Linked DNA regions of Caenorhabditis elegans. The protein of the gene in region 2 interacts with the protein of the main gene of each other region in a pairwise test. Each region holds a gene or a part of one and is shown on either strand. Other genes may lie near its edges.

Region 1 (12,477 bases), on a different chromosome or scaffold from region 2:
CATATTTATTCATCATTTCTTCAATTGTAGTCACTTTAATTCATGTGTTGTGAGCATTCTCCCCAAAGTTCCCCCAATCCATTGATGCATAATTTTGAAATTCATCGTTCTGATCTCGGTCTTTTTTTTTAAATAATAAAAATTTGCATTTTTCGAATTCCCTTTCAGTATGTCTACAGATTCTGGGTCTTTGGGAAATACATTCATCACCTGTTAATGAGCTTTTTTTTGGCAGAACATGAGGTTTTAGATGTCAATAGTTCACATGGACACAGAATTTGCGATTCTTGATGAAGAGAAATACTACGATTCAGTCTTCAAAGAACTAAATCTGAAAACTCGCTCAGAATTATATGAGATCAGCTCAAAATTTATGCCCGATTCGCAATTCGAAGCCATCAAGCGTCGCGGAATTTCAAATCGAAAAAGAAAAATTAAAGAAACTTCAGAAAATTCAAATAGGATGGAACAAATGGCATTAAAGATTAAAAATGTTGGCACTGAATTAAAAATTTTTAAGAAAAAATCAATCTTGGACAATAATTTGAAATCCAGAAAAGCTGCGGAAACGTTAGTGGATGAAAAATGCTGTAAACTAAATATCATACATTTATATATTTCAGAGCGTTGAACGTGTCAATCCCCAGTGCTTCTGCATCTTCAGAGCAAATAATCGAGTTCCAGAAATCAGAATCCTTGAGTAATTTAATGTCGAATGGAATGATCAACAATTGGGTACGGTGCTCTGGCGACAAGCCGGGTATCATTGAAAATTCAGACGGAACAAAATTCTATATACCTCCTAAATCTACATTTCATGTTGGAGATGTGAAGGATATTGAACAGTATTCAAGAGCACATGGTTAGCTTTCAAATTCCTGTTTGAAATGTTAAAGTATTAGATTCCAGATCTCCTCTTCGACTTGATCATTGCCGATCCACCATGGTTCAGTAAATCAGTGAAACGAAAACGAACGTGCGTTTTGAAATTTTCAAGAAACTCCACAGATGCATTTATTTCCAGATATCAAATGGACGAAGAAGTTCTAGATTGTCTCGATATTCCTGTCATATTAACTCATGATGCTCTGATTGCTTTCTGGATCACAAATCGGATAGGAATTGAGGAAGAAATGATAGAAAGATTCGATAAATGGGGAATGGAAGTTGTTGCCACTTGGAAATTGCTGAAAATCACAACACAAGGAGATCCAGTTTATGATTTTGATAACCAAAAACATAAAGTTCCATTTGAATCACTGATGTTGGCGAAGAAAAAGGATTCGATGAGAAAGTTTGAGTTGCCGGAGAATTTTGTTTTTGCCAGGTGGCGTTTTATTAACTTTTTGCAAAAATTGATTTTTTATCACAAACCGAGATCTTGGGTCCTGCGACGGAAGAAATGTTTCAGTTACCGTAACCCAATTTTCTTTACATTTATCACTATTTTCTCAATCATTTTTTGTTTTTTTTTCAAAGTCAAATCAGTAAAATTACTAAAAGTGCAACTCTACAGTACTTGTGGGGGTACGGAAGGGTGAAAAGTTTCGCTCGTGCTAGGACACTATGCCATGATTAGAATCAAAAATCACACTTTTTAGGGAATCGATAAAATAGTAGAAACATCCAATAAAATACAATTTCAGCGTTCCAATGTCAGTACACTCTCACAAACCTCCATTGCTCGATCTTCTCCGTCATTTTGGAATCGAATTCACAGAGTCAGATTTTGAAATTTGGGATTCAAAATATAATAATTGAAATTACAGACCTCTGGAACTCTTCGCCCGATCTCTTCTTCCATCAACCCACAGTGTTGGTTACGAACCATTCCTTCTACAATCTGAACATGTTTTCACTCGAAATATCTCTTTGTAATAAATAATTTATTATGCCTCGAAAATAATTTCCTCCAAAATCAATCTTTCAGCGGGTGGGTGTAATCATTGGGAACTGGGAAGTCACTAGGAAATAAGGAAATAGAGAAATACAATAAATAAAATAATAATAATAATAGGCGACTATGATTAGTTAGAAAACACAGCTCTGGGAATTGTTTGGAAGTGTTGAGAGAAATTGTTGATTTTTTACAAATGGGGAATATGATTGAACGTTGGAATAAGTTAAAATATTAATAAAAATAGCGCTGAATGAAAACTTAATAAGTGACAGTGAAAAGGATTTGAAAAGATAATTAAACCAACTACGCCCTAAAATAAAATAAGTTAAATTTAAAAAAAAACTTACTTTCCAAAAAATCATAGAAATTCGATTTATAAGTTAATTTACGATCCATATATCTGGTGCCTAGATGTTGAGAGAGGGAAAACTGAGAGCTACGCGCTTTTAGAAAATTAATATTATTGCGTTTGGAATTTGGGAAAATTTTGAGTTTTTATAGATAGTATAATAGAACGTAGAATTTTTAGCAATTGCATTGCTGTTGAGCAGGCTTTTGGGTCGGATTCGCTTCGAGCTTCTGTCCTTTTGGCTGTTGCTGTGGGTCCTGAAAAAACTACTTTTAATAAGATTTTTATTAAGAGGAAGTGTTTTATAAACTAACATAAATTGTAAATTATAATTTGTTTACAAAAATTGCAATGTTTTTCAAAAAAAGATAATGCCCCGGGTTTTGAAGCGAACTAAAATTTTCAGATGCAGGAAATCATGAGGCCCATGAGACCGTTAGAATATAAATCTCTATCATGCCATTTTCTATATACATAAAATTTACGTTTTTTTTTCAAAAATAAAAACAAGTTAAAAAATCTACAATTCCAAAACCATACCTTATCCAAACTCTCTGCCATCTTATCACAAATAATCTCCACCAACTTCTCAAAAACTGCCTTTACATTAATGTTCTCCTTGGCTGATGTTTCGAAGAATTCCAAACCTAAAATTAAATTCGTTTTTCAGCACAATTTTTTCTCAAAATACTTACCAAGTTGATCAGCAAGTTGGCGTCCCCTATCCATAGATACAACTCTTTCAGAGTCCATATCACATTTATTTCCAACCAAAACAACTTGAGCATTTTCCCATGAGTATGTCTTGATTTGAGTGCACCTGAAATGAATCAAGATACATATTTTCTTAAAACCATGCTCAACATACCAATCCTGAACACTATTAAAAGACTCTTCATTAGTGATGTCATACATCAGAATGAATCCCATTGCTCCACGATAGTAGGCGGTGGTGATGGTACGGTACCTCTCCTGTCCGGCGGTATCCCAGATTTGAAGTTTGACTCGTTTGTCTCCACGGAACACAGTTTTCACTTTGAAATCGATTCCGACAGTAGAGACGAAGGCAGAAGTGAATGAATCATCACAGTAACGGAAGAGGAATGATGTTTTTCCAACTGATGAATTTCCGATTATCAGGAGCTGAAAAAATTAGGATAAAATTTTAGGATTGGGCAATTTTTGCGGTTTCTTATCTATTCAAAGGCGAAGTATTGTCTGCTGGAATTTTTATAAATACTCTCATAACATTCCAAAAAAAAGTAAACATTAAAATTGAACCCTTCGAAGATTGGAATTTTTGTTGAATTTGGAGTATTGCTATCATTTCCAAAAATGTTCAAATTTAGGTATTTGAAACCTAAGATAAAATATATATATATATATATATATATATATATATATATTTGAAACCTAAGATAAGTTTTGCAAAATTGAGTAATTGTCACTTTTCCACAGTCAATAAAAATTTATCCCAATCTTCAGATTCCCCCGCCAAATTTAGTTTTTTTTGCGAGCTATTTCTTTTTCTTTTTTATTTCCTTTTCTCGTGTTATTCATATTCGCAACAGAATTCGTGTAGCTCTTCTCATTTTTCCATTCTTCTTCCATTTCCATCTCTCACTCCCTTTTATTCTACGAAAAAGTGAGTCCCGGTTTGTCAAATAAAATATGAAACCAGAGAGTCTCCCAGAGACACCCATCGATTCTTTTCCTCTCCCTATTTCTGAAGGATGGAAGAAAGAAAAGTGAAAGTTTTTTTTTCCAACGAATTTCCTCTTTTCTTCTGGGAGCAACGGGAAGCTCAAAGAGAGGATGGAGAGTTGGAAAAAGAGCACTCGACTGGAAATTACGGGCGAAGAGAAAAACGTGTAGAGGAGGGAAAATGAAAATTGTAGGAAAAAGAACGAGAGACACAGTAATTAGTTAGAATAATTACTAGAAAAAAAATATTCATTCTGAATTTTTGTTTTAAAAAAACGAATGAGAGGGTGCAATTATATGTATGTAGTTAGTTACTTGGAAAAAATGAAGAAACAAACTTTAAATCTGTTTTTAGATCAAATTAACAACGCAATTATTTTTCAAACTGGTCGTTTGGCAAAATTTTGTAAAGGACTTTTAAGTAATCAAAAATTAAAAAAAAAATTAAGCAAACTATGATCTGTTGTGAAATAAAATCAAATTTTTAAATGCATTTTTTAAAGGTCTTTTTATAGAGTTTTTAGGAGGCGATTCCGGGCGGTTTTTTTGAAAATACCAGTTAAAACTTTTTTTTAATCTATTAGTTGATCCTGTCCCTCTTAATATCCCCAAAGATTTAATGAATTATCTCACCCTTTTATAAAAAGCGCTATTGAAAAATAGTTACTAATAGGGATGGCATGCCTATATTTATATGATATTTTATTTCAACTTCTACATTTCAAAACACCCTACCAACTAGGTCAACAACATCATAAATATTTCATAATAAATATCTTAAGCCTCCACTTTAAAAAGCTCTTCTCACCTTGAACATGTAGTCAAAGTTCTGATCGGGTTGTCCCGGTGTAGCGCCTTGAGGTTGTCCGCCAGCCGCCATCTGAAAATAGGGCTACTGTAGATTTATTTTAAAAGAGCATTTAGATTACTTTATGTATTTATAGAATCAAAATATCAAAAATTCAAAGTTCATAGCGAGATATCTTTGATTAAAAATTAGAGAAGGAAGAAAAACTTGCAACAAAAAAGGAAATAAGAAATGTCTGGAGAATTCAAGATTAGACAGAAAAAAACGTTATTTCCATTTTCCAATTTTAATTTCCCAACCCAACAACAAAACTTAGAGAAACGAGAGGGAACTGATTAAAATAGCAAATTTTTATCATTCTTTTTATTTCTCTAGTGTATTTATCAGCTGTCTCTCTAAAACTCTTTCTCTGGAGGAAAAATTGAAGTTAGTGGACTACAACTCGTTGGGAAAAAGAAAAAAGCAGAAGAAGAAGACGTTAGGAAAATCGAGGAAAGCATACTCTGGCTTCTCTCTACAGAGCTCTTGGAGCTCAGTGTGAAGCTGTGAGTGTGTTTGAGTCTCTCTCTGTGTGTGCTCACAAAAATGGATCGATGGGTTGACTAGCTCGTTGCTCACGGAGAGAGATAGAAACGCCCGATGCATACATCACAACCGCTTCTTCGTCTTCTTTCGCTTCTTCTCCCATTTTCTCTATACACTTCTGAGGAGTGTATGCGTGTATGTGTGCTCCGAAAAAAGAAAGAAAAAGAGCTCTCTTGGGTGCGTGTAGGCGCTTCTGTTAGAGAGGAGAGCACCGATTTAATAGGGCACCTCACTCTCTTTTTTTTCTAGATTTCTTTCTATTTCAGTTCTTGAATTATTCTCATTGTGTTAGATAATTGAAATGCTTTTGTTGATGAAGCTTTTTAGAGAATTCGATATTTAGAGATTTTAGAAATAATTTAATAGATTTTGATTAAACCATGAAAATATATAATATATAATATATATAAATAGTCAATAATAAAGTTTTAAAATCTGATTTAAATTAACAAAATACATAGCTATCAAAAAATCTTTTTCAAGCCAACTTAATTATTCACAAATCGCTTAACATTTTTTTACTAGAAAAATATATCATTATTAATATCGCAAAAACAAGTACTTCTCTGATCCCCAAATATCCGACCAATTAGTTAAAAATATTTATGTAGGGAATTGGTCATTACAGTTTCATCTTTTATAGAGTACATTTTAAGAATATCAAATAGACAGTCCACTGCTCCCATCTGAAGATCTTTGAAAAATCTCAAAGTTGCATTCGAAAACCAAAATCTATACGTCTGAAATGGGTTAGAGAAAAGTAGAAAATGTATATATGCTATACTAAAAAATAGATAAATGTATTCTCGTTGCCGTCGAGGTCGTCGTCGTCAAAAAATATGCAGAAAAGTTGGGGGAAATGAAAAAGAGAGAAAGATTGACTAGTTAATGATGGGATACTCAACGACGACTCTGAAGGTGACGTTGTCCAAAGATTGAGGAATAAGAAATTGAACCAAGAAGATCTACGGAATTTCAGATTGATTTCAGAAACAGTTTATTCCCAGTGACCGTACAGTAATCCTACCGGGACATTCTAGTCGGACAGTCAGTATTCGAGAGGCAGACAACATACGATATGAGAACGCAAAAAAACGAACATTGAAGCTATGCATGTAATTTTAAAATAATTGCTAATGGAAGTACTATTGTGACGGTAAATTAGATGATAAGTAAATTAAAAGGAGTTCAAACTTAACTACGTATTGAGTTTAAAAATTATTACCTCGAGAGCTACTTTTTTGCATGGTTCACACTGACAAGTCATATAATCAGCTGGAGAAGATACTGCAATCGACTTAGATTTTCTAAGTTTTTTTACTTTATCTTTCAGCCTTAGATGAACTTTCTCCTTATCCTTCTTCTTCACCTTCTCCTGAGAAGAAGTCGTCGATTCATCGTCTTTTTCTTTCTTTCCCATTTTCAGTGAAAAGAAATCAGAAGAAAATCAGTTAGTGGGACGTCTTGTGAGGACGGAATAGAAGCAAATGGAAGCGATCTGTCCGTTCCCGATACCCATAAAACGATAAAAACGGGAACACAGAGAATGTAGAGGAAGGGGGCTGAAATTGCACAGGAGGAACGGATGGACGCCCACGGGTTCCCGTGCTCATAAAATTGTTCTTTCTCGTCAGGAGATGGGAGCAAATGTTGGGAACAAAAAAGGAGTGAATGACAATTTATTATAACACGAGGGGTACTGTAGTTTTGGTTTTTGATTTCCCTCCCAGTTTATCAAAAACTGCCAATATTTGAAAATTCAGTTACAGGTCCCAGTTAAACGAAATCTCTCTTAGCATTCGGTTTTTTTTGAGAATTCAGGACGATGTTATTATAAGTGCCACAATTTAGGAATTGTTACAATTTTTGAGGGAAACATCTAATAATTTGTTTACCAAATCGATTGAAAAATGTTCAGATTAATAAAAATTTAATTTGGTGTTTGTCTTGTTTTAAAATATGAGATTTAAATACAAATATTTCCATGTAAGTGACTCCAATCAAATACAAACCATATTGAATCCATGCAGCTTTACTTTAACGGCTCATATCTCGGCGGTCTTTGTGCCAATCAAAAAATTATTCAACTATAAAAATATAGAAAAATACTTCAGAGGCATTTTTGCAGTTGAAAAGTTTTTATTAAAATCAAGACTGATTGGAAAACTGTAACTTAAATCACAGTACTATGCTTGAAAATATGTATGTTACGATCGGAAGAAATATACTATCTAAAAATTAAATAACCGCTCAGATAGTTCTGTTGGACACCCTTGGTATTAATTTCGTTACAGATTCATTAAACATTAAAAAAAAAGTGGCAAATTGTCACAAATAACTCTAATAAAGATTTTCAAAGAACTCACTCGACTTCTGGCGGATGCAATGGCAGCCTGTTGATTATTCATGGTCTTCTTCGTTTCCGCCGCCTGAAATCAGGAAAACGTTCGGAATATTTCGTTTAGTCACCAAAAAGAAACGAATAAAAAATATGAATAACACTTCCTAGTAGTAATGCCTCCAACACATCGTCAAGTGACAAACTGAATGTTTGTGAAATCCGATAGGCAAGGAAAAAAGAAGACCGGATTTGGCGGAGCTCTCCGCGAGAGGCTTTTGTTTCGCGCATAAATCTGATAAAAATTGTGCAGCACAACCAGCAAAACTGATTAGAGAGTACAAAGGATTAGGAGAGGATAGACTTAAAAAAAGGTTAGAAAAATGTGTAAAGAAAAGAAGGAAGCACGACAAAAAAACGGAGGAAAACGAGAAGATGATGTGTGAATTGTGAGAAGACAAAGAAATAACGACTTTTCAAAACTGACATTTCTTTGGTTTTTTGTTGGTTGCTAGTTGCTAAATGTTGGAGTTTGAGCTTTTACTGTGAAGCCCTTCATAACAAAATTATACTACGGATGAGCCTAAATTTGCTTACGATTAGGAATGAAATTTTGATCATACACATGTGATAGAGAACTAAATTATTTAATTGAAAAAATAGAAAAAATAAGAAATTTGAATGAATTCGCTGGAAAACGTAACCAGGGCCTAACCAATTCACTCGTATATACAAATTAAAAATGTTTTTTTTTCAAACAGAAGATTCAAAACTTTCACAGATTAAACCACACAATTTGTCCGAGCATGTGAACTTATTTATCTAAAAATGCAAAAGCCAACTCATGCATAATTATATTCAAACAAATCGCTGAAATCAAAACTAAATTTAAAAAAATCAAAATGAAAGCATCTCAGTTGTAAGTTTCCGGTTTCTGAAATCAGAAAAATAATAATCGATAAAACAGTGTGGCTGACTCGCGGAAAAGTGTGATGCAAGCCAAAAACAATGACGATTTTCGCACGGAACCCTCGTCATTTTTATGGATTTTTTCTGTTATTTTTTTATCTGCTCGTTTTTTCTCATTTTTTCAAGCTATAGTAATTTTGTTTAAATTGAACTTACGTCTTGGAAGTTTGGTGGAATAAATCCGGAGCATCTAATAAGATATCCATTTATTGAATATTCGAATTCCGAACAGACCATTTGAAAGAAGAATGATTATGATGAAAATGAGTTCATCGATGACCAGAGTCAGATTAACCTAGATTATATCTGACCATCTGTTACTTTTTTTCTATTTGACAAAAAAAAAGAGAACTGCATACTTTCAATTATTGAATGTGGATATCTGTCAGCTGTTTTATTTAAAATTTTACGAAAAACTATTATAGCTTCGAAGACCATTAAAAAATGTTTTTTTTTCAAACAAATTATATATTGCAAAAATGTCTAAATATCATATCACAACTGTTAATTTTTTCAAAAATAATTAGTAATCACTCAGTTTTTGAAAGCCAGTCAAAACTCGCTCCTTTGGGTTTTTGTTTAAAAGACTGTACTTTGTACTAAACTCGGACAAACGTGCATTTTTTTGCAAGGCTTTACAATTTTTGGCTGAAGTTCTTCTTTTGACAACTACTGGTCACTTTCAATGTTAAATGCAAACAACAAAAGCAGTCTAAGACCAAGTCATTGGCGAAAACTGTAAACCACTGCAAAAAACTTCAAACTTCCCATGTTTCGTATAAAATTGTTCAGATGAATTACACAAGTCTTATAGGCTCATCGGTAGGCTCTCCTGCTCCTGTGTGAACAGTTTAGTGGAGCAGTTATTCCAAAAGAGAAGAAGTGTTTATTTAAAACACCTCTAGGGGAATTGCGACTTCATATTTCGACATGTTTAACATTAAACCTTCTCGTTTTGTTAGTTGTGCTTTGAAGGAAACTATACAAAATTATTTATTAAAACTGAGAAAAAACATCCCAAATGCATTATATGTAGTAAACGTGAGGAAAGTATAAGCACTTTATTTCCCAGAAACCAGAATTCTCAAAAGAAGATGCACTTAGCGAGCAGCTGCACCAGGACCGAAATCTTCATAACCGTCATCCATTTTAGCAGGATTCTTGTCCGGAAGGATTTCCAAGTTGCTGATAGTCTCCGTTTGAGCTTTCCTTTGCTGCTCATCCTGAAAACAAAACAATTGTAATCGATTACGTATTATTTCTCCAACTGACCAAAGCAGTCTTTTCCTGTGGTTTTTTCTCAATTTCTCGTTTCTTATCCGTTGCTTGTTCCCGTTCTTTTCCAACACTGGGGGTCTTTTTCTGTCTGCTACTGAAAATTGAAATATTAAAAGCCAGTTCAAAGATATATTAAATTACCTCTTCTTTGAGTTTTGAGATGCATTTTGTTTTACAGACGGCTTCTGTCTATCCGTGCCAGTTTTCTTCTTGGCGCGCAAACTTGGTGTTGATCTTTTTGAACCTTTTCCTTTGTCCATTCTTTTGATCCTGAGAATATAAATTGAAAAGAGGTATCCACTTGATTTTGATTTAAAATTTTGGACATCAGCATGACGTGAATTTACCAAGCAATCAATAGTTTCAGCAGCTCAAGAGTTACCAAAAGCTGAGGTTTCGTGGAAAGCAAATCTCCGTAGTTTGTCAAATAAATAGTTAAAATATGCCAAGTTGGAAATAAGAAATTAAACTCTGGCTAAAAATCTGAACCCGAATGACATATACAATAGTACCTGAAATGTCTGTAATTTCAACTCACTTGTCAGCAATGCAGCTAAAAAATCAATCCGGCAATGAAAATTTTGAACAACTTTGATGCTCGTAAAAGTTAAACTGAATTTATTTCTTCCGAGGGAACTAAAAACTAAGTCACGTGGATGTTTTGGAAAGTTCATAACACAACGTAGTTTGTTGCCGTGTCATTAAAAAACAATTTATTATTTCACTTTTAATTGTAGAGTCAGAATTTGAAATAAAATAATTGAAAAAATCAACTAACATAATTTTGGAACAGATCAAGTTCTCGACAGTGGTTTTGACCAACTGTTGGTAACTTACACCTAAATGTTGTGAAGAGTCCTTAAGTACATCTTGAACATACATTGGTCAGATGTTGGATATATCATTGTTCAATTAGGGCTTCTGGAAGAGATCTCTTGAAATGAAAAGTTGGAAAGCCTTGTCACCTAGTGGAGATCCTCGTGATTTAGCACGATTGACCAGAGACTGACCGATGCCCAAGACCTGAAAAAAGTTTGATCATTGTTATGTGATTTTTTTGTAGTCTGGTTTAAACATAAAACTGTGAAATTAAATCTTCTAACTTCAAGCCATAAATTATGCTCTCTATGGAAACATCCTACTTACAACTTTACAACACTCTTCTAGACATCTCACATTTTCTTTTTTCGACTGCCTACTTTCAATGCATCTGAATTATAATTTGATTTTTCTCCATCTCATTCTGTTTGTGGGAGTCTGTAACTCAGGTTGGCAAAACAAAACAATTTTTTTCTATAATATAGTTTTAGGCGAACTGAAAATGATGAAAATATTCGGGATGGTAGAGAAAGTAGATATCCAAAGTGGAAATATTATCTCAAACAAAGAATGCGTTGATAATTGTTTTGAACAAGAAGATTGTATTTTGGCATTTATGAATTTAGATGACTATTGTGTACTTCTTGGCTTCAATCAAACGGAACATTTGACAGTTTTAGAGAATACTCGAGCAGAAAGATATATGGTTGCCATTAAAGTCAGTACCTTTATATACCGTTTAAAAACATTGCCTTCAGACAACTCTTCCGACCGATAACTGTCCTTCATATGATAACCTCGATTTATTTGTTACATTCAATGGTACCTCGATATCATGGAAGAAAACTGAAAATGGATGGACATTTGATAAATGTGTTGGAGATTGGACAATGTTTCATAGAGAGAATTCAGATGTTGTCTGCATGCAGACATTCAATTTTTCAAAACCGATTACAAGGAATGAATCCATATTGTTTTGTGAAGGGATGGGCTACAAACTGACTGGGGTTGCTTCTACTGATGAATCTTCATGGCTTCGGAGTGAGATCTGTTATTTTTCAAAAAAAAAAAACAGTTCTTACAGGCAGAGTTAAAGAAGTCAACGAAATAACGAAATTTGGCAATAGATTTTGGGTAGATGGAATTCGAGTTTGTAATGAAACAAATATAAAATGCAATGTACTGTATTTAAAAATTATGGTGACTTGAATTTCGTAACTTTTAGAATTTCGAATGGAGTGATGGATATACAGTTTCAAAAAGTGCGGTAAATCCCAGCCATACCGATTTTTCGCATATAAATAATAAGTAAGCGGCCAGAATCCACATTCCTAATAGAACAAACTCATTTTAGTCGAGAACCTGAAAACTGTTTGACAAGTGTGGATATCAAACCCTGGAAAAGACTGAATGACGTTTCATGTACTGGTGTGTCAAATGGAGTGGCCTGTGGATATAAACTTGTCTAGTTTTAAATTGTAGGAATAACATTTGTTAACTTTATTTTATACCATAAGTCAATAAATTCCTATTAATATTCAAACAGCATCTATTTTCTATTCATTTTTTATCCATCTCCCTTACCAATCGCTTATCCATCAACAATTGACGTGAATTGACGCAAATTTCATTCCGCTCCACTGAGTCTCTCTAGGTATTACTGTAGATGCACACACGCCGTCTCAAATGGTATTTGAAGACATTTTTTAATAATGACAAAATGTAAA
Region 2 (9,500 bases):
CTTCTTTTCGTTGAGATGCTGCCGCTTCCTCTACTTTTGCTTCTTCTTTTTATTTTCCTACTGCTCTGTCGTTTAGTCCCGCGCGGCCGTTTTCCTTGTTATTGAAAGGGAGAGAAAGAGAGGGAGCAAGAAAGAAAAATGGAAAGAAAAGGAGAGGGACTAGTGCCGTACACACCAAACACGAATGAGCCAAAAACGCTTGTCTCAAAAAAAAAGAAAAAGTTTTGGTGCAATGCACCGCTGCACTCTAACCTCACTGCTCCTTCCCTACCTCATCTCACTTTTTGTATTTAGGCACTTTGCTCGTGCATTTTTGCGTTACTGTTTATTATAGAAAAACCAGCTTTATGAACTAAGCAGATAGCTAGTACCCAATAAAAACATTCCGAAATTTTCATGTATCCCGATGTATACTCCATTGATTATATTGCATCATTTTCCTCAAAATTACCAGGTTCTAAACATATTATTAATCTATAAGATATTAGACCAAATGCACATAGTGTAAAAGAAAATTTAGCATGTAATTATAGGATTCAAGCTTTTTTAATACCTTTCGAAATAGACCCCTATAATTTCTTCACTGATCTTTTTCAATCAGAACGAACATTTGTTTTTTGCTGCATTGAGGCAATCGAGCTAACAATTTTCAGACGGTAAAGTACCGAAATCTGTGGCCTTGCTCTTTTATACCGAAAAAAGTCTAAAACTATCTGATTGCGAAACAAGTCGTTCTGAAAATTAAAAAAAAAGTTATGCCGGATTAAAGTATTCGGAAAACAAGGCTAAATTTCAGCTAAAATCTTTATTTTCCAATTTATCAGTGCCGAAGTGCATTTGTACATTGTGCACCCATCGACATTAAAACAAAAACAATCTTAATCAACGGAACAAAACTTAATCAATTTCCGAATTATGCATAGTGATATTATGGAGAGAGAGAGTGATATTAGAATACAATTACTTCCATGAGTTGTGACTTTGATAAAATAAAAAATGTTTAGATTTTAGCTGAAAGTAAGTTTTATTCCGAAACTTTGAACCTCCTTAACTTTTTTTTTTTAATTTTTGGAATTTTTACAAAATCCGGTACTTTTGACTCATTTTAAATCTAAAAAGCAAATTCTAAAAGCGCGATGAGTGTGTCTATTCCACCTTTAAAAATATCTAAAAATACATGATTATTAAAAGTAGAATATAACACTTTTAACTCCCACTCCGGTAGTTTTTTTTTCAAATATAGCTTTTTGACCCATTGCATTTTGCGTTTTTTCACTTCACTTCCCCTTGCACCTGAAATATTCAATTTGCACCCAAAAAAGAGAGCACTTCTCTGTAGTACAAACATGCGCAGTCTGTTTCTATTCTTCCACAACTCTCTGCACCTTTGTTTCCATCAGTATTCCCACATGCACTTCTTTTCCTTGTGCCCTCCAAAAAATATTTTATTTTCTTACGAATCCCACGTTTTACCCACATTGTCAGTGGACCACTGATTGCTGTCAGCTTTTGCCAGGGAAAACCTTTTACCAATTTCTCTCTATCTTTCGTTGTCTTTTTTTTGAAAATTTTCATACACACATAAATGGACATACATTCTTGCGACAACGACACAAGACCCTTTCTGGGTCCTTCCTAACCTTTTTCCCTGCTCGAATGTTTGCAGACGCAATAGTTGAGTGATGTCAGTTATTGACGGAATGTTTTTTGCCTTCTCTCACGTCCACTTTTTCTTGCCCAATACGTTGAAACATTCGAACTGCGCTGAGAAATTGACTCTGTTTGAATTTTGTAAAATTTTCGATGGTAGTTTTTCTAGGTTTTAACTTAAAATTTGTAAATAGCTTTATTAAAACAAAAATAAATTTTTATTTTATTTTTTAATATACTTTGAAACATCTCCATGCTATTTTCAAACAGTTTTTGCTCAGTTCGTGAACTATTTTTTTCCGTACTTTTGAGAAAGTTTTGAATCTGAAAAAATACTTTCTGGATTTCATAAGTTGTTATTCCAAAATTATATATTTAAAATGCAACAATAACTTTCAAAATTATGCAAAAATTATTAAAAGATAAGAAAAACGGGTACTTGTGTATTACATGCCCTCATTTTAAAAGTAATTTTTTAAGATAAAAAAAATGAAAACGTGAAGCATATTCTTGTATTTTTGGGCTTAGGAAATAACCATTTCTAAGCCTAAAAAGGAAAAATGTAAAAAACCCACACACGCAACTTGGGTATTTCAAATATAGTGTTTTTAAAAGTGCATATTTTAAGAGTAATAGTATTAAATAATTTTGATGTGACTTCAATTGTTTTCAGGAACATTTTATGTTTACCATAACCACAAAAACATATACATAAGTAAAAAACAATCAATTGTTTTATCTCGTAGTGGGTTTTTATAGGTATACTTATATTATGATCACTCAAATAACAGATAGAGTTTGAAAACAATTTGAAAATATGTTAAATTGTCATTCATTTTTCAAACTTTGTCCAATTTGATGAAATGTGATTTGAATGCCTTATTTTTAGGTTCAGAAACAGTTTTGTCCTCAAGAAAACCGTACTACGTTTTCACATTCATAACTTTGAAATTCGTTCCGATAGCGTTCCGCTAATAAACAAGAACTCTCAAATGTCTCTGATATATAACAAATCTGAAAAGTATTAATGCACTTCCAAAAGGTAATCTTTATCTTTGAAACATCACATTTACCCATCTAGAAGTTTGTTAATTCTGTTTCTTGTCAGCTATATGAATTGATTCATAACGGATTTTGTCCGCCTTTTATATATCTTCTCATAGTTAATCTAATCTTCAAATCGTGAAAACTCTTTTCATATAACACATTTAGAAATCCAGCCGATGGAATAGGAAAATAGTATATATATATATATATATGGATATGGATATATAAGTGTTGCGAATGTTTAATATTCTCTTTTTTTGAAAAGTTTGTTCGATTGTTGAACAAAAATGTTTTGCTTTTGCTGTGAGTTTTAATAATTAGTTACTTCATAGTCCTAGTAGGAATTCTGAACGTATCTGAAAGGGCATTGAAGGGGCGTGAACTTTTTGGAAAGGTGATCCCTCGTCCTGTTCCCTGTTTGTCTGTCCCCTGTCCTCACCTCCTTCGTCTTCTTTTTCTGTCGTTTTATACTTCTCTTTGCTATGCATTCATGAACAGATAATCCAATTTGAGGCTGAGGCCTGCGTGTGTATGTGTGTGTATGTGTGGAGGCCCTCCAACGAAGAAAGAACAAAACTTGGCAATCTTGAGCATATTGGATAAGCTGCCCGCTGAGTTGCTAATTGTCAACGTTTGGCACAAACGCCACATAGAGCCATCTCGGGATGGAAAGGGAGAGAAGACTGGTTGGGGGAGAAAAGAAGGGTAGAGCCTTTGGAGCATTTTTGTGTTTTGCGGGCGTTGCTCCATCCCTTCGTCGTTTTCTCCACCCTGCGTTTGCGCATCAGTCGCCACACGCCGCTAGCCCCCGAGTCCTAAACCCCTCCCTCCCATCTACACACATCCATTTATTTATTAGAAGAGCTCTGAGTAAAACATGAACTATTCGCTATCCGTGGCCTTGTTTTATTCATTGCTTATATCGCATTCGCCCGGGTTTTCCTCCTGGGCGCGCCTTGTCTTTTTTCTTTTCCTCCCGTTTCACCTCCGTTTTTCCTTTCGCCCTCTTTCTCTTTCCTTACGGATACGGGAGGCTCCCCCCACCCCTATCTTCAAACCTTGTCTTTTTTCCGTGCTCAGGGAAACGAGCATGAATTCATTGTCTCAAATGAATGTCTCCTTTTGTGCATCATTAATCTTGCATCGAATTTTGCTTTTTATTCTTACATGCTTTTGTCCACTTTGCACAAGCTGTCCATTTTTTGTCAATTCAAACATCAGCTTGAACCTTTACCTGTCCATGGTTGGCCTTTTTTTATGGCGAAACCTGGCGAACCCAATATCCATCACCCTTCTATTCCTTTTCTTTTCCCGTTTTCCTTCGCTTCCCACTTCCCCACCTCCTACGCTTATTTCTTATTCCTTTCCCGTTTTAGTGCTCTCTTTCTCTTTTTTGCAAAAAGTTCTTGATAGCAGTAAAGAAAAGAAGAGGAAGACTATTTTTGGATGTCCCGAGTTTCCCACGGTATTCATCGACGTCGTCGTCGAAAATGACCACATCCAGTCTTACTGGGCGCTCATGTCTTGGAAAAGGCGTCATTTTTCAACGTTTCTAATCCCGGACGCTCTTATTTTTCCTCTCTCGGTTTCCCCATCTTTGACGCTGTTCTTTTTTTGTTTCAGCGTTGATCCTGTTTTCTTGTTGGCCTTTATTGACATACAACTCTTAAACCGAACAAATTCGTTTCTATTCTTTCTATTCGGATTGTTATCGCGCTTTAGTCTTTTTATACGCTATGATTTCACATGATGCAATAACTCCTTATTACCTTAAAAATCAAACTTCAGTGCCTCATTAAATATAATCATGGACGATCCGTCGATGATGCCGGATTTATCCCATTTATCTGCAGAAGAACGTGAAATAATAGAAAATGTGAGTTGTTCCAGCACGAACCCCCTCCCCCCCCCCCCCCCCCCCCATCGTTCATTTTGCCCATCCGTCTGCTTCTTGTGGGGTTCAAAAAAGTAGTTGGTGCGGTGTGAGTCCTCTGTCTCGGAGCATGACGGGCCCCCCGAGGGGTGAAAGAGCGAGAAAAGGGGAGGGGTATTACTTACAACGCCGTGAGCACACGCAAAATAATGGATATGCAATCAAACGAGTGTGTGCTCTTATGTACATTCGACAAGAAAATTGGCATGATATCATGCGTGCACATACATATAGAGAATACTCACTCAGAACGCTCATGATTTATGTTTTTTGCAGGTCTTCAAACGACAAAAAGATGAGGAGGCAAAAGAAACACAAATATCACAGTAAGAGTTTTGTAGACACATAATTGCATTGGTATTTCTTCATGCGAATGATTTTCCAGAAAAGCATCTGAAGAATTGTCAGAGTTAGACAAACAGATCACGGAGCGGAAAGAAACATCGAAAAAGCTGGTTGGCACACAAGATGACGCGATCTGTCAAATCTGTCAGAAGACCAAATTTGCGGACGGAATTGGTACGTTGTTCCTTTTCCTGAAGAAGCGATGAGAGCAAAGGGTCCTTCTGTCGCCCTGAGATGAGCCTCGTTTTCTGTTCCTAGTAATTCTCTCCGCGGCGTCAGAGAGCCCCTAACCCTTGGCTGTCATCGTCTCTCTAAAAGGACATCAATTTAGCACAAGATGAGAGGTTTTTCAGGCCACAAGTGCTTTTATTGTCAATTGCGTAGCTGCGCCAGATGTGGAGGTAGAGCACAGAGCAAAAATAAGGTACGAGCGGGAGTGAAAGTGTGGGATGAAATAAGGGGAAACATGAAAGAGAAAGGACAAATTCTGGATGACTGCATTTGAATAACAGAATAAAAACCAATTTGAGCAAAATCGACTTGAACATTTTTGCGATATGATGTTGCAATGTTTATATTTTCACAAAAAAAATCTAAACTTTACAATTTATTATAAAATCATGTTTAATTTTATAGTTAATGAATCTAATTTGGAAATCAAGCGAAATAATCGTTTTTACATCTAAAAAAATACGACAGAAGCTGAAAAACAATAGCATCCATTGTTTGCAAAGTAGTTTGGAATAAAGAGATAAATAGAAAGTATTAGCCCCGTGGGTGCACCGACCGATAAAAAAGTAGAGAAGTGAATTGAAGAGAAGAAGTAAAAAGCTTTCAGGCAATCTGGGCTTGTTCGTTGTGCCAGAAACGTCAACAAATTCTTGCCAAAACAGGCAAATGGTTCCAACCCGAAGAGCAGCCGCAGCCGAAAATTAGCGGCTCCGAGCCAAGCCCTTCGCCCCAACCACTAACTGACGACAACGTACCAGAACCGCAGCAGAGGCGAGCAGAGCCGCCTGATAAAATGTGAGTTTCTTCCGGTTTCTTTTACTTTTCCAAGTTTGTGTTTGATTGTTACATGTTCCTTTGAAGCGTTAGTTTCAATCAATCACAATTCAGACTAATTTTCATATTTTCAGGAACACTCCAAATTATCAAAACAACCAACAACCCCGTGGAATGGGAATGCAGCCAAATCATAATCAAACTCAGCAGAATTTCATGAATCAGAACCAAAATTCAAATCAACATCCAAATCAAAACCACAATCAGAATCAAATGCAGAACCCGCATCAAAATCAAAATCATGTTCAAAATAATCATCAAGGAGCCAACAATCATCAACAGAATAATCGAAGAGCTATGCAACAACAGCCAATGAGTCAAAATCAGGCAAATCAGATAAATCAGATGAATCAAAACCAAAATCAACAACAGAGCCACAATCAGAATATGACTCAAAACCAGAGAAACCAGGTACTTGAAGTTGGAAAGTTCCACGATTATTTCAAATTCTACATGTAAATAATTCAGACTGGCCCCCAAAACCAACAAAGGACAAATGACTCTCGAACTATGAAACAAACGCCTCAACAGCAGCCCAGTCAGTATCAAAACAACGTAGGCGCGGCACATCAACACCATAATCAACATGGACAACAAGAGCAGCATCATCAACGTAAGAGCCTCCAGGGGTATAAAAAGAGAAAGTGAAAAACAAAACAAAAAAGTGTTGTGCGCTAAAATTGCGAACGAGACGCAAATTGATATAGTCTGGATAATTTCAGAAATGAATGAACAACGGACGGATAACAACAGAATGAGAGAGAATACTAACGGGCAAGGAGGAATGTTCAATAGGCAGCCGTCATTAGAGGTGAAGGGATCAGGGATATCAAAAACGAGCTTTTGAAAAAAGATTGAGCAGCTTATTATTAGGGTGATACTTCTGTAAAAGTAATGAACAAATGTGAAGAATCATCTAGAGCGGAAAATTTGGTCAGAATTACAGTACTGTCGTACAAAGTTCAGAGTAGAAAAATATATTAAAATGAAAAAAAAAACGAAATTGTTTCTAATTTAGCAAACTACGCCCATGAACAAATACAATCACGTTGAGGATGATGGCATGAACCAGCGGTAAGTATCCCATAAAGTTTAAAAACTTGATACCCACTTGCTTTCAGACCCACGTTCTACACTGGAAATTCCGAGAATGACCAAAGACAATTTGATGGCCAAATGCAACAGGGCTCACAACAAAATAATCAGAATCAGAACCAAAACAACCGAAATCTTAGAAAAAACACAGTCAGCCGGGTAACAGAGGAGGATTATGCAAGTTCGTCAAACTTCGAATCTAAGAAACGTAAGATGATATCATATCGATAATACCTTGCTAAATTCTATTTTGAGAATCAATTTCAGAGCGGAACAACTCTTCACAGAGTCAGTCCAACACGCAAGGCGTGCGAGCATGTCCTTCTACTGACGACCATTTGAACCGGGTGAAAAATCGATTGCATAGGTGAGCAAGTGTAATTTGGCTAATGGAAAAAATAGACAAACTCAATTGAGTAATGTCTTTTTTGTACTAAGTGCTCAAGCTTTGAGTTCATTGCTTTCCCTCTTCCAGTTACGTCTCCATTTTCTCATTATTTAGCATGACTTCCTTTTTGTTCTGCTGATCACTTTTTTAGTCAAACCAACAGCAAAACAGAAACCAGAAGAGCGCCTTTCGGTTTCAATGCAAATTTTTAATGAGCATTGCCTCATTTAGCTTTTTTCGCTCTTCATCAGTAGTTCAATTTCACATAAACTGCATTTTTTGTCATACATTCTTCTTCATTTTATTTGTTCAAAGTAATTGTTTGAAGGCAACTTCGATCAATGTCATCTTCTGAAGAGGATATTATTGCTGGAGGCGGTGGTAACACTTTGAAGATGTCTACGTCAGCAGTTGTGGCCTCTGGTGGGAAAACCGCATTTCATGATGATATGGGAGCGTCGAATGTGCAGAGGTTGTCCGAGGAATGCAATTCTGAGAAGGGTTTGTGTGCGTACTCTTGAAATCCCATGTTGACATTTTGATGAGTTTTTCAGACCTCCTTCGATATATTTATGGCGATCATAAAAACTCGGATTCATCGTCGTTGGGCGCTGGTGTAGGCGGCAGTGGTGGTGGCGGTGTCTTGAGCGGAAACAGCGTGCTGAAAAGTAAATCACATGCTTTACTGAAGGGGTCTTACCAAGGGGGTTTAGACATGCAAGCTAATCGAAGGCGTGACAAATCGCTGTCCTTGTCACCATCGAGAAATGATCATTTTGGAACAGGGAGCATATCTGGCGGAGATTTGTTGGCATCACGGATACGAACATTTTTATCAGTAAGCCTGTTTTGATACAAAAATTATAACTAAATGTCCTACATATTCAAAAAAAAAAGTTTAAAAGTTTGACAAGTTTCCAATTGGCAATGTTTTCAGCATCCTGTAACATGGCAACCTTCTGCTGATCAGAAAAAATTAATAGGGCACATGATACTTCATCGAACTGAAAATTCTGCAGCCAACGGGGATCTCGGTTTAAAAATTGTAGGCGGCCGAAGAACGGATACCGGGAAGCTCGGTGCATTCATTACTCAAGTTAAGCCTGGCAGTGTGGCGGACACCATTGGAAGACTCCGTCCTGGTAATGAGTTTTGAAGTGAGAGACTTTTTTCTTCAACTTTTTTTTCAGGCGATGAAGTAGTAGAATGGAATGGACAGTCTCTGCAAAATGCCACATATGAACAAGTATATGATAGCATCGCTGCAAGCAGATATGATACTTCTGTCGAGCTGATTGTTAGTAGGAGTGCAATGTAAATATACATTTTATTTTTAAACTCTGTCAACATTTTTAAATCTCGTCTTTCCAGTATTCCTGGAGGTGACGACTTCCTCAACCTTACTCCCTCACAAATGTCATCCTCGGCGTATTCAAGAGTGCCATCTGCATATCCATCTCAATTTCAGCGTCAATTACCCAACCCTGACCTTTTTCTTGGTACAATTAGAACTGAGAACTTCAGAATTAAATAATTTGTTTTCAGACATACATCCCGCTTTACAACAATTATCATTACCACATTCACAATCAGCCGTATTCCCTCATAATAACACATTGACTTCACGCAATCGTTCGACATCAAGCTATTATTATTCAGGTATTCTAACCATGTTAACTTTGGTGTAGATATTTTTTTTTGATGAAAAATAGTTCACATTTTGTTAAAATGTCATCATGATTTTTTTCTAGATGTGCCCGACCTTGGTGTTCCAAGCAATAGGGAGATGCAGGAGAGCCAAGCTTTTGGAACAGGACACATATTTGGACGAATAGAAGTTTCATTTGTGTATTCTCATCATGATCGACAACTCTCAGTTGCTCTCGTTCGTGGGTTTGATCTACCACCAAGATCCGACGGGACTCCCAGAAACCCATATGTGAAAATATTTTTACTGCCTGATAGAAGTGAAAAATC

The links.
Region 1: the proteins of unc-10 (region 2) and rab-3 interact in a two-hybrid assay, tested with the Caenorhabditis elegans proteins (one study listed by BioGRID).

The regions. Positions count from the first base shown.
Region 1 is NC_003280.10:5,719,898-5,732,374, forward strand, and holds rab-3 (Ras-related protein Rab-3), read right to left. Parts: upstream 7,957-12,477; 5' UTR 7,755-7,956; coding exon 7,713-7,754; intron 4,834-7,712; coding exon 4,762-4,833; intron 4,426-4,761; exon of another isoform or gene 4,258-4,425; intron 3,393-4,257; coding exon 3,118-3,392; intron 3,070-3,117; coding exon 2,945-3,069; intron 2,897-2,944; coding exon 2,790-2,896; intron 2,507-2,789; coding exon 2,426-2,506; 3' UTR 1,879-2,425; downstream 1-1,878. Other genes in the region: damt-1 (DNA N6-methyl methyltransferase), read left to right, coding at 266-570, 624-862, 910-976, 1,025-1,327, 1,647-1,721, 1,770-1,878; C18A3.7 (Der GTPase-activating protein YihI), read right to left, coding at 9,754-9,876, 9,926-10,025, 10,073-10,191; C18A3.11 (PAN-3 domain-containing protein), read left to right, coding at 11,136-11,468, 11,509-11,844. UniProt on the Caenorhabditis elegans protein: Involved in exocytosis by regulating a late step in synaptic vesicle fusion. Could play a role in neurotransmitter release by regulating membrane flow in the nerve terminal. Plays a role in the recruitment of endophilin unc-57 to synaptic vesicles.
Region 2 is NC_003284.9:7,275,306-7,284,805, reverse strand, and holds the start of unc-10 (Rab-3-interacting molecule unc-10), read left to right. Parts: upstream 1-4,483; 5' UTR 4,484-4,504; coding exon 4,505-4,573; intron 4,574-4,722; exon of another isoform or gene 4,723-4,861; intron 4,862-4,906; coding exon 4,907-4,956; intron 4,957-5,015; coding exon 5,016-5,149; intron 5,150-5,203; exon of another isoform or gene 5,204-5,288; intron 5,289-5,328; coding exon 5,329-5,399; intron 5,400-5,813; coding exon 5,814-6,001; intron 6,002-6,114; coding exon 6,115-6,451; intron 6,452-6,508; coding exon 6,509-6,653; intron 6,654-6,762; coding exon 6,763-6,851; intron 6,852-7,058; coding exon 7,059-7,114; intron 7,115-7,161; coding exon 7,162-7,343; intron 7,344-7,402; coding exon 7,403-7,502; intron 7,503-7,851; coding exon 7,852-8,024; coding exon of another isoform or gene 8,025-8,030; intron 8,031-8,077; coding exon 8,078-8,361; intron 8,362-8,460; coding exon 8,461-8,665; intron 8,666-8,713; coding exon 8,714-8,837; intron 8,838-8,894; coding exon 8,895-9,022; intron 9,023-9,068; coding exon 9,069-9,182; and 2 more. UniProt on the Caenorhabditis elegans protein: Regulates the efficiency of a post-docking step of the release pathway. Acts after vesicle docking likely via regulating priming. May regulate the conformational changes in syntaxin.